Linked DNA regions of Diceros bicornis minor. The protein of the gene in region 1 purifies or fractionates together with the protein of each later gene. This does not show direct contact. Links are inferred from orthologs where the notes say so. Each region holds a gene or a part of one and is shown in the gene's direction. Other genes may lie near its edges.

Evidence for each region.
Region 2: the proteins of AMFR (region 1) and ERLIN2 purify together in Homo sapiens (affinity purification with western blotting; 4 studies listed by BioGRID and IntAct, with this or other methods). This does not show direct contact. The link is inferred for Diceros bicornis minor from reciprocal best matches to the Homo sapiens genes AMFR and ERLIN2.

Annotation. Positions count from the first base shown.
Region 1 is NC_080771.1:9,983,641-9,991,169, reverse strand, and holds the start of AMFR (E3 ubiquitin-protein ligase AMFR), read left to right. Parts: upstream 1-4,528; 5' UTR 4,529-4,648; coding exon 4,649-4,909; intron 4,910-7,529. UniProt on the Homo sapiens protein: E3 ubiquitin-protein ligase that mediates the polyubiquitination of lysine and cysteine residues on target proteins, such as CD3D, CYP3A4, CFTR, INSIG1, SOAT2/ACAT2 and APOB for proteasomal degradation.
Region 2 is NC_080768.1:34,488,004-34,495,876, forward strand, and holds the start of ERLIN2 (erlin-2), read left to right. Parts: upstream 1-4,773; 5' UTR 4,774-5,440; coding exon 5,441-5,512; intron 5,513-5,978; coding exon 5,979-6,100; intron 6,101-7,413; coding exon 7,414-7,495; intron 7,496-7,873. UniProt on the Homo sapiens protein: Component of the ERLIN1/ERLIN2 complex which mediates the endoplasmic reticulum-associated degradation (ERAD) of inositol 1,4,5-trisphosphate receptors (IP3Rs) such as ITPR1.

The DNA of each region.
Region 1 (7,529 bases):
CACATTGGAGCTCCTCAAACTTAATGTTTTTACTAGTTCATAGTGTTTGGGACAGTACGTGCCCATCAGTAAGACTGCTTCAGAGAGTCTGCAATTTTGTATGTCGCATTGCCGGAGATGGGTTAGTGGTTTTTGACTGTAATACAAGTCAGCTTCCGTAGCATGAAGTTTGATTTCCCATAATTCTTCCACTTGTTTTACATCACTTATTTGGGTTAAACTGGACTCACTTCAGGCAGTTTGCCTTTGTTATTTAAATATGTGATGAGAAACATAATGCTGTTAATTTGACTTGAGCCATAAAACACATTTTAATATTAGCTTGTATTATATGTATCAAGGTTGTTTTTGTGGAAAAAACAGGCTAAAACCTAAGTAAGTCTAGATTAAGCCAGTTTAGGTGTAATTTGTATTTTAGTGATGGATTGTATTGTAAGAGTAGAGGTAAATTAGGAAAATGTGTTTTGCTGTTCTGTTGAGGGGAAGATCAGTGCATTTAAAAACTTCAACTTTTGGTTACTGTGCTTACATCATAGTGTACAAGCATCATTTATAGTTTGGCTTTGAGGATTTTTCTGGCATTAAGTTTATAGAAATGTATAAAAGAAACTGTTTAAGTTTTGGTTATATTTTTATATTTGTAAAGTAAAAGTTTGATTAAAATGGTCACTGTTTTTTTATTTTATTGTCATTTCAATAAAAAAAAATTTAAAATAGAATGACTGATTGTTTGTGTGGCTCCAACCTTAGTGTGCCATTAGAAATCCTGCAGGGTTCTTTTTCACTGTTAGTGGCTAGGGGCCATTAGGTGAGAGACAGCTTGACGTAATAGCAAGGGCCTGAAGACCTGGGACATCGATGTTGCCCTCCCCTCACACTCCTCCATTGTGTGTTAGCAGTGTTCATAGGCAGATTCAGTTTCCTCCAGTGTGAAGCGGTCACTGGATTTGGTACCTGGTGCAAATAAATGCAAATAAAAAATAACCTTATATTATTGGGTTAGTTTCACCTATTCTCATAGCTGGGAAGATTGGGATTTAGAAATTGCCTCACAATTGTGTTAAGTCTGTGTTGTTATATCATTGAGGACTCCATTTCCTCATCTATAAAGAGTGTTCACTCCTACAGTTTTTTTTCCTCAAACTTGCCAGACAGTCGTGATGTTCTGTGACACCATGCTTGCTGCTTATGTAATGCTGTGTAATTTAATTTCAGCATCTTAAATAGAAACAATTTATACCCAAAATATGAGAATGTATGTGTAATAAAACCATAGCCTTGAGGCTTTATAGCTGAACAAATATTGAACAAAACCTGATAAAGTTATTGCAAAGTTCTGAAAATTTTACTACTTGTGTATTTTATAGCAGGCACCAAAGAGCTATGAAAAATTATGAAAGAAAAGGTAAAGATTGAAATATACCCATTAACTTAGTTTTTTCCGCACAAACTTGAGGAGTTGGTTAGTTTTCCTCTTCTGCTAGATTTAGTAGTGGAATACATTGGTCCAGCTAAGGAAACACCGGAATTCCATGGGAGTCCATTTAAGGCTACTGGATTAGATAATGATGTTCAGTTCCTAGGACGTTGAGAATCTTAACAAAAAGCTACTCAGCCCTTCTCACAGGATGGTGAAAATCACATGAGGTCACGCATATGAAAGGATTTCAAATATTTTAAAAAATGAAAATAGCAATACTGTATCTAGGTGTGAATCTTACTCCATACAAACTCTGGTCTGTTTGAAATGACACATTTCCTTTAAATCAAACTAAATCAGAGCCATCATCCCACAAAGATGGAAGGAAATTCAGTCTCTCAGTCACTATTGGGAGTGAGGACCCACCCAAAGTCTCACAAGAATCCAGAAGGCATAAATGGTACTCTGAAATGAAAGTGGGGGTGCGGAGAGCTCTGGCTTCCGTCACGGACTCCACAGACCCTTTCTTGTCCAAGCTGGACCAGGCCCTTAAAGTCTGGTGCTGTTGCCTCCATGTCACACTTGGGCCTTGGAACTTGACTGATACAGGTAGTCCCTGTGCCTATGGTCCAGCCTTCCTGGGTACACTAAATATTCATCCCTTCTGTCTCTTGCCTCCTCCCCTGGTCCTCTCATGGAGCAGGATGCAGCACAAAGAACCAGAAGCATTAGCTGACTTTAGAAGGTGGGTTCCGTCCTTGCCAAAAAGAAGCCATGAGAGATGGATGTGCAAAAGCCTGGTTACCTTCTTGGAAAGGGAAAGGAAAAAATGTTGGTAGAACAAATACTAATTATCCTAGTAAAATATCCAGACACAAACATCTAAAATCTTTTAAAATGTGAATTAAAAATTATATAGTTAGGTTAATTTCACCTATTCTTATATTGAATATTGAGAAAGTTCAAGCTTCTAAGTTTAATTTAGTTAGACTAGTTTTAATATAGTCAGAGCCAAAAGTAAAAAGTTGCTATTAGACACTTCACAAAGTCATTCCAGAAAACAGGTTGTCTAAAGTTTTTTTTTAACACTTAGAAAGTAGTGGTTATCTCAAAATATAATTTAATAAAGAGTATAGCACTTTGAAATTCAAGATGGTGGAATATTGTACCTTAATAAGGGCAGATCTATTAACAGCAGCCTCTTATGGTGATGGGACACAGTTGGTGTGGTATTATGTAACTGTAATGTGACTTAGACTGAATATGGATCACCTGATAGTGTGGTTTAAAAATTATGGGAGCTCAGATAAAGTAGAACAGTAACTTCCCTGGAAAATCGCTATCTTCATTTTTTCAAAATAAAGCTTTCCTTTATTTTACCAATAAAGTTGAAAGTAGCGTTTTAATCAAATGGCTGCAGGGTGGAGAACCAAAGGGAACTGAAGTCTAATATTCATATAGACTTCATAAACAAGTATGTGTAAATTCACATGGACATTGAGCTCTATATGAGGTCTATATAGACCTCATATAAAAAAGTTGGTGTGTGGCCCCCACAAAAGCCAAACTGTTCTGTTCCATCACAGGCCCTTTAATAGGATGATCCTAAAACTTCCAAAGTAGATGGTAATAACCTTGAGAGATCTTTTTTAGTTTCCAATTAGTAGGCTTTTCGAATTAGAGTATTAGGTATAAAAGAGATTTTGAAGACAATTTCTTTTCTTTTGAAAGTTTGTAAGATGCATCAAAAATTGACTGAGCACCTGCTGTGGGCCAGGCACTATTACAGGCCTTGGAGATACAATGAAGAATAAGACCCCCAAGCTAACATTTTTTTTTTGGTAGCACTTTTTCTTTGTAACAGCTTTACTGAACTATAATACACATTGAGATATATCTCACCATTTAAAGCGTACACTTAAATGATTTTTAGTGTATTCAGAGTTGTGCAACCATCACCACAATTTTAGAACATTTTCATCACTTCAGAAAACCATATTTAGTTTTTACCCTCCAGTTCCCTCATTTCCCCATCCCTAAGCAACCATTAATCTACTTTCTGTATCTGTAAATGTATTTGCCTGTTCTGGACATTTCCTACAAAGAGTCACAATATGTGGTGTTTTTTGTCTGGCTGCTTGCAGTTACCATGTTTTCAAGGTCCGTTCACGTTGCATCAGTACTTCACTCATTTTTATGGCTGAATAATATCCCATCATATGGATATCCCTTATTTATGGATTCATCACTTGGTGGACATGAGGGTTGTTTCCACCCTCGGGCTATTATAAGTAATGCTGCTACCAACATTTGTGCACAAGTTTTGTGTGGAGGTATGTTTTCACTTCTCTTGGGTGTATACCTAGGACTGGAATTGCTAGGTCAAATGGTTACTCTTAGGTTTAACTTTTTGAGGAACTGAGAGACCGTTTTCTGCAGTAGCTGCACTATTTTACATTCCTACCTAGTGTACGAGGGAACACTTTTATTTCCCGCTAAATGCGGTTCGTTTTAGACTGTGCGAGGCTACTAGCAAACAGCAGAAACTGAAGACAGCTTTGTTGGGGAGAAATTTCAGACTGTTAATAGTCTTTCTTTGAGGTCAAGGCCTCTATTATTCCCTAAGCACCATCTCCTCTTTCGGCCACCGGGGAAGCTGCTAGGCCCACAGGGGTGCTCAGGGGCAACCTGCTTAGGAGGGGTTAAAGGGAACGAAGGGCCAGGCGGCCGGACGCCCGGTGGCCCGGGTGCCCGCGTCCTGCGCGCCGCCACGCGGCCTGGGCCCCACCGCCCGTCAGCGCCGCCGGGCCTGAGTGCGCTTCGGCTCGGCCGGGCGGGTGCCCCGCGCGTCCGCGGGCGGCGGAGCTGGGCCGGCGGGGCAGCACGCTGGGCGCTGGGCCTTGGCCGGCCCGGCGGCGGCGCGAGCGCTGGGGGCGGGGGACGGAGGCCGCGCCCCCGCGCCCGTCCCGCCCGCACCCTGCGGGGGGCGGCGGCCCGCCCCGCGCCCGCCGAGGCTCTTCCGCGCCGGCAGGGGCAGCAGCGGCAGCGGCGCGGGGCGGAGCGGCGCGAGCAGCCAGGAGCGGCCCGGCCTGGCCCGGCGCGGCGGCGGCGGCGGCGGCGGCAGCGGCGGCAGCGACGCCAGAGCCCGTGGGCGCCGTTCGCGAGGCCGCCGCGGCGGCCTGGCCGCAGCGCGGGGAGGCCTGGGGGCCGGAGGCCGCCGCTGCCGCCATGCCGTTGCTCTTCCTCGAGCGCTTCCCCTGGCCCAGCCTCCGCACCTACACGGGCCTCAGCGGCCTGGCCCTGCTCGGCACCATCGTCAGCGCCTACCGCGCCCTCAGCCAGCCCGAGGCCGGGCCCGGGCGCGGCGAGCAGGAGTCGCCAACGGCCCCGCTGCTGCCGGAGCCGGCCGCGCTCGCCCGCCCGAGCGCCGGGGGACCCCGCGCCCGCGACGTGGCCCAGTACCTGCTCTCGGACAGCCTGTTCGTGTGGGTGAGCGAGGCCGCCGCGAGGGGCGGGGGCCGCCATGTCACCCATTATCTGTGGGGGGCGTGGCTGGGGCCCGGGTCCCCTCCCTGGGGCCCGCCGAGTGAGAAGCCTGGGGCCCCGCCCGCGAGCGCGCTGCCGGAGGAGGGGGGCTGTGGGGCTGGCCCGGGGCGGGAGGAGATGGGCGTGAGGAGGCGCGGCCGAGTTGGAGGGCCTGAGGAAGGGGTCGGGGGGGGCGCGGGGGCGCGAGGGAGGGAAGAGGTTAGGTGCTGGAGGGGCGGAGTAGAAGTCAAAGATGGGGAGCGGGGTGGGGGTTCCTGAGGGCCCCCCGGGGAGGAGACTGGAAGCCCTCAGAGAGCAGGCTCGGGGGAGGCTGGGCCCGGCGGGTCAGTGGCCCCGCTGCTGTGTTCCCTGGTGGAGGGAAGCTGACAGGCCTTTCTGACCCGGTCGTGCACGGCAGTGTTGTAGGGTTTCCCCTGGAGAGGAGAGGGCACAGCCGGAATTCGGGGTCGAGTCTGGGAGCATTTAGGCATTTGGGTGTTTGGACGTTCCTATTCGGCGAGAGGCCGTCTCCCACCACTTTTTTGCCGTTTAGCCTGCGATTGTCCTCTTTGGGTCAAACAAACCTGCAGACCGTGCTTCCTCTCCTGCCGCTCTCACCTGGTGATTCGTCACGGTTTCCTTTGATGTCTGAAGGCAGCAAAACACTCATCATTTTAACTCAGGATTTCTCCTTTTGGTGATCCATTTTAAAACAAGGTTTCCAGTTCGTCTGTCAATGCACGATAAGCAGCCTTTACAAGGCAGACATGCTGGGTTCGCTGATTAGAACAGATAATTTCAGGCGGGGCAGATCAGGAGTATTTTGGCTAAAGAACTTTGCTTCCGCCTTGGCCTAATGTAAATACTTCTTTATATAAACCCTACAGTGATCAGAAAAGTTGCTGCAAGGTTGAAGTGTGTCGCTTGGATATACTGTGGCGTCTTGAGTCTTGTCCCCTCCTGAGAGTTCCCATTTGGGATGGAGAGTAGGCTGTAAATGACTGAGATTAGTATTCCAAGTATATAGAATGATATACAACTCATTTGTAATAATTAATCCCACTGTGCTTCATCAGGAAGCAGTGGGATTTAGGAACTCCGTGGGCTGTGGATTAAGTCTCCTGGTCCTTCTCATGAAGAGATTAGTGGAAGGCAGTGGAGGGTGAGGTTCGGGTGCTCTGCTGCTGTGAAGTTGGACCTTACAGAACTGAAGACGGGAAAAGTGAAAGAACTCAACTCCCATCTCTTGTTTAATTTCAGATCTATTTTTGTGTTTGACTTAAGCAGGTAAACAAGTTAAAGTGATGTGAAGAGGGTTTTTGCCAGATGTTAACATCATCATGTAGTCTTTGACATATTTTTTTAAGTATAAGATATGAATAAGCCTTTGAGAAGGAACCACTATAGTATTTATATAACAACTACTAGTAGTGATTCGTGATTCTTTTTTCCCTCGGAGTTTCTTTTTACAAAACCCACGTTCAAGTTCCAAGGTTAACAGCTCTTCATAAAATATTACATAAAGGCCTGTTGATTTTTCTGTGAAAATTATTACTTTTAAGAAAGTTTCCTTTTCTTCCCAGCTTTTTCAGTAAAGGACTTGCCTCATGCAAGTTTGACATTTCTTCCTGTCTGTTTCCTTTCTCAATTGATCTTCTTATTGTTTTTCTTCCATCTTTGCTCCTTGGTTTTCACGCTTCCATCATGGCCTTCCTTGGTTTCTCAGACCCTCAGCACCCATTACATGGTTTCTGCTTCACTAGCTGAGTAGGAATCACAATCTCAGAGGCCTTCCTCCGTGGGCTGACTGATAGCTTTATTGAGTGAATATGTGGTGGGGCCTTTGTCAAAATGGATCTGTTTTGCTCTCTGTCCGAAGGCATTCAGATTCAATTTTTTAAAACCAAGCAAGACAAAACAAAAGCTGATCTTTTGGCCAGTTTGCAATCTGGCTGCTATTATTTGGTGTATTGGAATGTCTAAAACTTATCTTTGTAGAGCACAGTTCAGATTAGTATGGGTCTGATAGCATCTCAAGAGGTTTTTGGTTAACAAACTCATTTCAAAACCCTCAAAGGTACTATTTGGAGCACTCTGGAGGGCATGGCTGTGAACACTTTCCCCCTACTCTCAAAGCAATCCATATACAAATAAGGCAAAATTCGATAAATGATAGTAGATATATAAAGAAAATATGGTGGAGTTTGGAGGAAAGAGAAAACGATGCCCAGGGAAGGATGCATGGAAGGTGATATTTGAACCCAGCCTTGGAAGGTGGGAAGGGTCTCAGCAAGCAGCAAAGGGCATTCCAGGTAGAGAAAACAGCATGTGAAGCTCAGACTGGAGTATGGAGGACAGGGGAGAGCACGTGCAGAGCGGTTCATAAAGTCGGTTGTTAAATTGAAATTACATTGGATCCTTTCATTTAAGAGTGAGGTTGGGAAGGTGAAGGGGAGACCCAGGAGTCACAGGAGATGGGGGAAGTGACCCTGCTGTGAGAGAAAGGGAGAGGTGAGCAACCCCTCTGAAAGTGTATTTTTCAAAGTGTGGACCTCTGGCAACCTGGTTCATTGTCACCTGGGAT
Region 2 (7,873 bases), on another chromosome or scaffold:
ACAGGGGGGATATAGGGTCAAGGAATAATTAGAACTCCATAACTAAATGCATGGGGCAGATTAGGATAGAGGCCGAGTGCCTGGCGTGGATGCTTGAGTGCATGGTGACGCCTTCAATGGGAGGAGTACGTTTGAGGGGGAACTACAAGTTCAGTTTGAGACATGATTGGTTTGTCCCCATCCAACATCCAAAGAGATGGTATTCTAGTCTGTTACTCATGGCTATGGATATGCATTTGGGTGAGTCAGAAACAACCACATAACTTGAATCTTGAGTACACAAGAGACCTTCCAGAAAGAGAAGGTAGAGAGAGAAGAGCAGTGGGTCAAGGATAGAGTTCTGAGGAGTGGCTGAGAATGAGCTCATGATGGAGACTACAAAAGGAACATTTGGACAAGCAGGAGGAAAACCAGGAGGGATGGGGTCACTCATGGAGGCCAGGGGTAGGAGGTTTAAGCATTAAGGGGTCGGTCAACAGTACCAAGTGCATCAGAGAGAGGGACTGAAGGACCAAAAACAAGGGGATGGAGAGTGAGGAAGTAAAGACAGCAACCGTAGGTACTTTTTCAAGAAACTGCTCAAAAGGAAGGAGACAAATCACGTGAGAACTAGAGGTTTATGCAGGGTCAACGGAGGGGCTTTAAGAGAGAGGAGAGAGAGGGAGACTTGCACAAGACTGCAGGCTGCAGCTCAAGATCTGCTAGAGTGAGGAGATCGTTGAAGGCTCTAGGTTCCTGGAGGATGAGATTAAGAATCCAGGTGGAAAAGACTGGCCTAGAATAGAACATGGGTTTCCTTATTCTTTGATATTAACATACCAGGCACATAAGGTATCTCTTTGTCTACAGCAAAAAGGCATCTATCAATGATATAGAGAGATGTATGTGGACAAAATGCCATACAATCTTTTTTTAAAAATTCCTAAAGTTACTATGGATTCAGAGATGTCAAATGAATGGTCATCCCAGGCAAAACAAGCCAAGCCACACCTCTAACCACCAGGCCTCTCAGCGCAGTTTCCCAGGGTAGCAGGCTGCTTTCCCATTACTCCCCAAAGGCGCTGTGGACCTTAACCAAGTCCCCTTTCTGGAGACTTCCTCCCCTGTGCCCTCTGTTTCTCCATGAGTGAAATAAATGGGTTAGATTAAAATCACAGGCAACAATGTATATGTCCATCAACAGATGAATGGGTAAACAAATTGTTTAAATAATTCTACAATAGAATATTACACAGCAAGAAAAAGGAATGAACTATTGACATACTCAACAACATGGATGAATCTCCAAATCATTATTCTGGGTAAAAAAAATCCAGACAACCCCCCCCAAAAGAGTATATACTGTGTGATTTAATTTATATGAAATTCTACAAAATGCAAACTAATCTACAATGACAAGCAGATCAGTTTCAGCTTGGGAATTAAGGAGTCATAGAGAGGGGTGGGAGGGAGAGATTACAAAGGAGCTTGAGGAAATTTGGGGGCATGAGTCATGTGTTCATTATCTTGATTGTGGTCATATACATATGTCAAAACTTATCAAACTGTACACTTTATAGGTACTTTATTGTATGTCAATTATACCTCAATAAAGCTATAAAAACATATAATCACAAAATGATCTTTTAGGTGACTACCAACTGACTTCCAACTCAATTTTTTTTTTCAAGACTTCTCTTTGATCCCTTTACCGAACTCCCTTGAAGAACCCCAAGCAAATATCCTTTTGTTGTTAGAAGGCACCAATCCTGGTTTTTCCAACTGAAAATAAGAGGGGAAAGTTCTAAGTATCCTTCTTAAGAATTAAGGACATAATTCTTCACTCCTCTTCCCCCAAGCTCACCAAAATCGTACTGGGATCAAATGTCCTGAAAGATGACTTCTAGTCTCTGTTTAGAGCATAAAATAAGAAGAAAAATCAAAATCAAACAAAAACGTTTTCCAGCAACTTCCACTCTTGTGATATAAATGAACTGAAGCCAAAGATGTTAAGAGTTGCCTGGTTCCTTTGGAGTTAACCACCTGGTCATTAATAAAAAGGGCTCTAATTGTGAAAGAAGGGGTCTCTTCTATCTTTGAAGTGGCACTCTCACCAACAATTAGCTTGTTAGAGGACTAAACAAACAGCAATCCAGACATAGGGAGATGTGGATAGCTGTCATGGGAGTATTTTTTTTTTTTTTATCATGCTTCAACTTACAACTGCACAAAAAGAACTGGCCCAATTTAAAGTTTCGCAACTTCTGACCATCGGTCTACATTCCTGAAAGGTTACACGTGAAATAAATGTGGTGTGTGTGTGTTCAGTTGAATCATTAGTTCCTAATTCATTTACTATAATGAAGAAATAGACTTGGGATTATTTGAATTCTGTCTTTGCAATTCACAAGCTTTGTGATCTTGGGCAATCCCTCAACTTCTCTAGGCTTCAAGTTCCTCCTCTAAAATGGAGTTGACCTCAAAGGGCTGACCTGAAGATTGTATAAAATGAGAAAGGCATAGGCCCTGGGACATGGAAAGCACTCACTAATGGTTTATGAAATCTGCATTGTAAATATCCATTGAGGTATCATTTCAGAGACCCTTATCTCTTCTGATAAGCCTTCATTGGGTTATTACTCAATACCACATAACTTTAATTTTATCCTTCCCTCACCTTTTGTCATATTGATAATCCAAATCCACAAACAGGCAAGAACACATTAATGGAATCTGCTATTTAAAACGGCAATAGCTAACACTTAAAATGTGCCAAACGTTTTCCTGATTTGACATTTAATCCTCACAACAGTCCTATAAGGTTCAGACTATTATGACCCCCATTTTACAGATGAAGAAACTGAAGCACAGATAGATTAAGTCATTTTCCCAAGGTCACACAGCTAATAAGAGGCAGGGGGAGGGGAGGCAGCCCCAGATGTAAACCCAGGCAGTCAGCCTGGAGTATCTATGCTTGGCCACCATACCTCGATTTTTTAAAAATGGATTTTTAAACACTTTTGTTAAACAAATCCCCGCAGACTTACCTCCATGATAACTTTGGATATTGAGTCATAAAAATCACAGGTCTCTTAAGAAAGGGATTTTCAGAAATGTTAGATCATCATCTACTGAAGTCCACCCCCTGCCTCTCGATGGGGCCACAATGGGACAACTCAGGCCTGGTGAGAAGGATCCCAAGAACAAAATCCCACAACTTCCGCTCATAGTTCATTCCCAAGTTTCACAGTCAGGAAATTCTTAAATTACAACTAATTTAAATCCTTTATGCAGGCTAAGCCCCATTCCTTGGGCTGAAACCTCAACATTTCCATTTCTCTTACTCATTCACCCAACTATTAAATAAACCTTGATTAAGCATGCCCAGCTGAGTTATATCACCGCACGGGGAGAGAAAAAAGCTCTCAAGTTCTGACAGGATCAATCAGGAGATTGACCAAGAGTGCGGGCATGCGCGCGTGCTGGGGGTGGGATTTCCAGTGGGGGGCGGTGGGGAGAGGTCCTCATGTATGGAGGTGAACACAGAGCTCCCAGGCAGTGCCATGCAGCCCACTTGTGGCCTTAACCATATAATGCTGAGCCATCCCCACACAAAGTCCCAGAGCAAACCCGCAGAGGGAGAATGAGCCAGCCCCAAGCAGCCATGCCTGGAAAACCTACAGTTTCCTATTCCTGTGTCCTAAATCTACCACCACTAGCTTGCCATCTTCCCCGTGTAAAAGCTTTTCATTTACTGAAGGTTGTAATGAAGTGGACTCCAACTTTCTCTTCTGCAAATAAAATAACTTCAGTGGCTGAATTAGAAATGCCCCAATGTGATGGTGCTGAACAGCGAAGGCTGCGGACAACGGGAGGCCCTTAGACTAGGAGAGGCAAAGTCTGGATCCTGGTCCCGGTCCCGCCACGCCTTCAGTCTGTTTTGACTGAGCACCTGAGCACCCGAGCACCCGGGATGCTGAAGGGAAGAGGCAATCCCTGCCCTCAAGGAACTTACAGTCTAGCCAGGGAGACAACGAAGCGCACAAGCCCCTGTGTCCTGCGGCAGGAGTTAACTTACAAAGGCAGTTAAGGTCCTGATGTTAAGGAAGCGCAAAGGAGGCTTTCATCCACTGTTACCCTCGCACCTCACTGATCTTAGATTTCGTTCACTCAAGTTGGGATGATTCCTTCTTAATCGACTTTATGGTGCGGGGACCTCAGAGGCCAAAGCTCCTAGAAAAGCAAAAAGGCAATTCAAAGCAGCGACTGTTGATTAGCGACGTAAGGGTGCTAATCTGCACATTTAAAAGACCCTGCGAGCACAGGGCTAGAATGGTTGCAACTCGCTGGGACCTGCTCCGGGAAAAAAAAAAAAAACAGGCTTGGCCTAATGCGGAGGGGCCTCCTCAGCAAACTCCAAAGTCAAAATCTCGGAAAGTGACACCCTCGGTCTCAGCAGCCGCGGTCACCCTCCACGCGCTCCGCGCACCCCAGCCCTGAAATCCCAGAGCGCAGTGTTGACCGCCCAGACCGAGCCGCGGGCACCCCCTGGCGGCCACCCGCGGACACTGACCGCTCGGAGCGCGAGGGCGGGGCGAAGAACTCGGCAGGGAGGGAGTGTGATCCTCTCGCGTGGACTAATGGCGTCATCAGAGCGACGGGTCCGGAAGGAAGTAGCGTGTCGAGGGGTGTGGCGGTTTCTGCGGTTGCACAGGAGGTCGGACGAGTACGGAGCGCCTGGAGGGACAGCCTGGTACGCGGCCCCCGCCCCTTAGTGGGCGCGCTGGGCCTAGTTGCGGCTGTCGGCCGGAGCCGATGAGCGGTTCTCCCGGGCCCCCGCCCCAGCAGCCTCGCTCCCTCAGCCGGCCCACTCCGGGAGCGAGAACGCGACGCTCCTCTGTCCCTTCCCTTCCCGCGATCCCGCAGGCGGGACCGAGCGGAGGCTCTCGGAGCCCAGCCCCTCCCCAGGGCGTGTGGGACGCGCGACCCTCTCTCGGAAGAGGACAGGGAAGGGGCGCGAGGTGGGGCGGGGTGACCTCGGGGAGGGAAGAGCTGTTGCGGAAAGGATGCGGCTGCAGATCGGTAGCAGGAGGCCGCCACCGTAAAATAAGCGCCTCGCGGGTGTCCGCGCCCGAGCTATGTTGGACCCGGGCGGCAGAACCCACGCTCTGCGCGGGTGGGCCGCGCACGCCTGCCTGCCTTCTGCTGCCCGTTACCATAGGGTTTCCAGATCATTCAGTGTTCGGAAAATGAGTCTAGATGCCAACTCTTTCGCATCCTGGTGCCTGAACGCAGTTGTCCCAGGAGCCCAGAGTCCTCCCAGCTTGGGGAACCCCCTTTCTCTAACCATGGAGTTGGGACCTGTCAGGGGCAAAGTGTCAGGTATATGGGAGGGAGTGTGTCTTCAGTCTTGTTCAGAACCCTGTCCCGTGAAGGGCCAAAGGAATAACTGGGAAGGTGCATGACAGGCCAAAGAATCCCACCTTGGACCCCTGCTCGCATGCTGTCTCTGTCGCTCCAGCATCTGAAAGGAGTAAATAATGGTTTCCTGTGAAATGACGGGCAATTAGGACTGGGAGGCTCTGACCAGAATTACATAGCCACAACTGCCGGTCATCTGACATCCTCTGTAATTTGGGCCAACATACTGCAGCTGCCTCTCTTCCCTTTTACTAGTATGAGTGGCTCCAGTGACAGCACGTGCGTGTTCACAGGAAGGGAAGGCTGTGTTCTGAACGCTGCCCAATTAGCACGGGTTCCTCGGGCCACGGCTGGAGCCACTGCCTTTTCAAGAGGTGGGAATATAGTTCTACAGTTAAGGAATGGGAATGTTGACTGAGAACAAGGTTTGAAGAGAGTTGTAGACCTAGCCATGTGTTGATACTATAGCAGGCTGGATAAGAGCCGCTTTGAGGGAGCTCAGCTTGGTGAGGTGCTCTTGCTGTCATAGCTTGTCTCCTGCATCAGACCACACACATTTTCCCGTATTTTTTTCCTAGGATAAAGGTTCACTGATGGCTCAGTTGGGAGCAATTGTGGCTGTGGCTGCCAGCTTCTTTTGTGCATCTCTCTTCTCAGCTGTGCACAAGATAGAAGAGGGACATATTGGGGTGTATTACAGGTAAGGCAGAGACAGGGAGAAACTTGCAACTTCCTCTTACATGACTCTCCTTCCTAATCACTGTCTAGCAGATTCTGCTGGATATCTGTGTTTATATTTTGTTGAATAGGGGAGTCTTTTAGATTGAGCTTTTGTGTCAGTGACCATGGGGAGGGGAATACACACACATACATATATACACATATATAGTTGTAAATATACAATTTAGTAGTCTAAGTTGGTGCCATGGGTGGTGATTGATAAATGTGTATAGATATGTAGAGACAAAACCTAAAGGAAACCAGTGCTCCTTGCAGATCATCTCTGAAACATTGTTTTCTCCTACATCCCTTTGGGCATCTTGGTGCCACAAGGTTACCTCTGATGAGTACCAGTTCTTGATGGCAACTTGAGGAGCTAGCCTGCTGTGCTAATTTGAACCTACTGTTTAAAATTAACATTTCAGGAAATGTGAAAGAGCCTGCAGGTTTATTTATATTAATTAAGGCAAGCCTGAGGATAGTGGTTCTTACAATAATGGAGCCCATTATGTCACTATTTTATTGCTCTTTTTAAAAAAAAAAATGTATCTTCGACTTCATAATGTAAAGTGAAGAAGCACTTATAAATCTTGAGGTGCTTTCCTTTTAGTAACCTCCATAACCAAGTTGTTGCTTTAGCCTTTATGAACCCCTTCGTGTATGTGCCCTATGATGCTTATTTCTAGATTTCCAATAGCAAGTTCTAAATGTCTGATTGAGTTTCCCTCTCTACTTTAATTATTTCTCCCCACCACCTGCTTTTATGTCCCCAAAAGAGGCTTTTAATTTTGTTATTTACATATAACTTGATTAAAAGATAACTCGCCTGCCAAAAAGTAATATATTAAAATGATTTCTAAAGCATACTTAAAATTATTCTTTTGGTTGTTCATGTCACTGGACTCCAACATTAGTGCAGTTAATTGATGGCAGTATTACTGCATTTAACTGCCCTAATGGATTTCCACAAACTCAAGGGATATGACAAAATAAAACAGACTTCCTCTCTTATCTGAAGTACAGCCAGGGATTCTGCTGTCTTTATTCTACTTAACCTGTGTGCCTATCTTTCTCACTGCAAAAGCGTGAATAATGGTTTTATGTTTTACCATCAGGCTTCCTAGAATATTACAGTTGAGCCAAGAGGAAGAAAGGGATCAGTGGACGTGGCTCTGACACATGTCACCCTATATTAAACGTTTGTGGGGCTGAAGAGAAAGTTGGCCGAAACCATGTTGCTGTAATAGATACCTCTTGCTAAACTGAACCTGCCTCTCTCTTCCTCCTCTGCAGAGGCGGTGCCCTGCTGACTTCCACCAGCGGCCCTGGTTTCCATCTCATGCTCCCTTTCATCACATCATATAAGTCTGTGCAGGTATACTTGGCTTGTGTGGTATGGATGGACGACTGCAGATTTGGGGTGCTGACTAATGCATGATTTGGAATTTAGCTATTGGATGAGTATAATACCTTTTCAAGGAATCATTTAAGAGTCAGTTTTATTTATATATGTATATATATATAGAAAGAATGAGGCTCCACGAGCCATTTACTCTGGAGCTTGATTGTTGAACTAGCTGAATGGGGTCATTTCCTTGGCCCATCAGCCCCAGTTGGGCATTATTTCTTCACTTCAAGACAAAGCCAGGGAGGAATCTGTTCTGAATATATAGGAGATGGGCTGGCCCCGTGGCTTAGCGGTTAAGTGCACATGCTCCGCTGCTGGCGGCCCGGGTTCAGATCCCGGCCACAC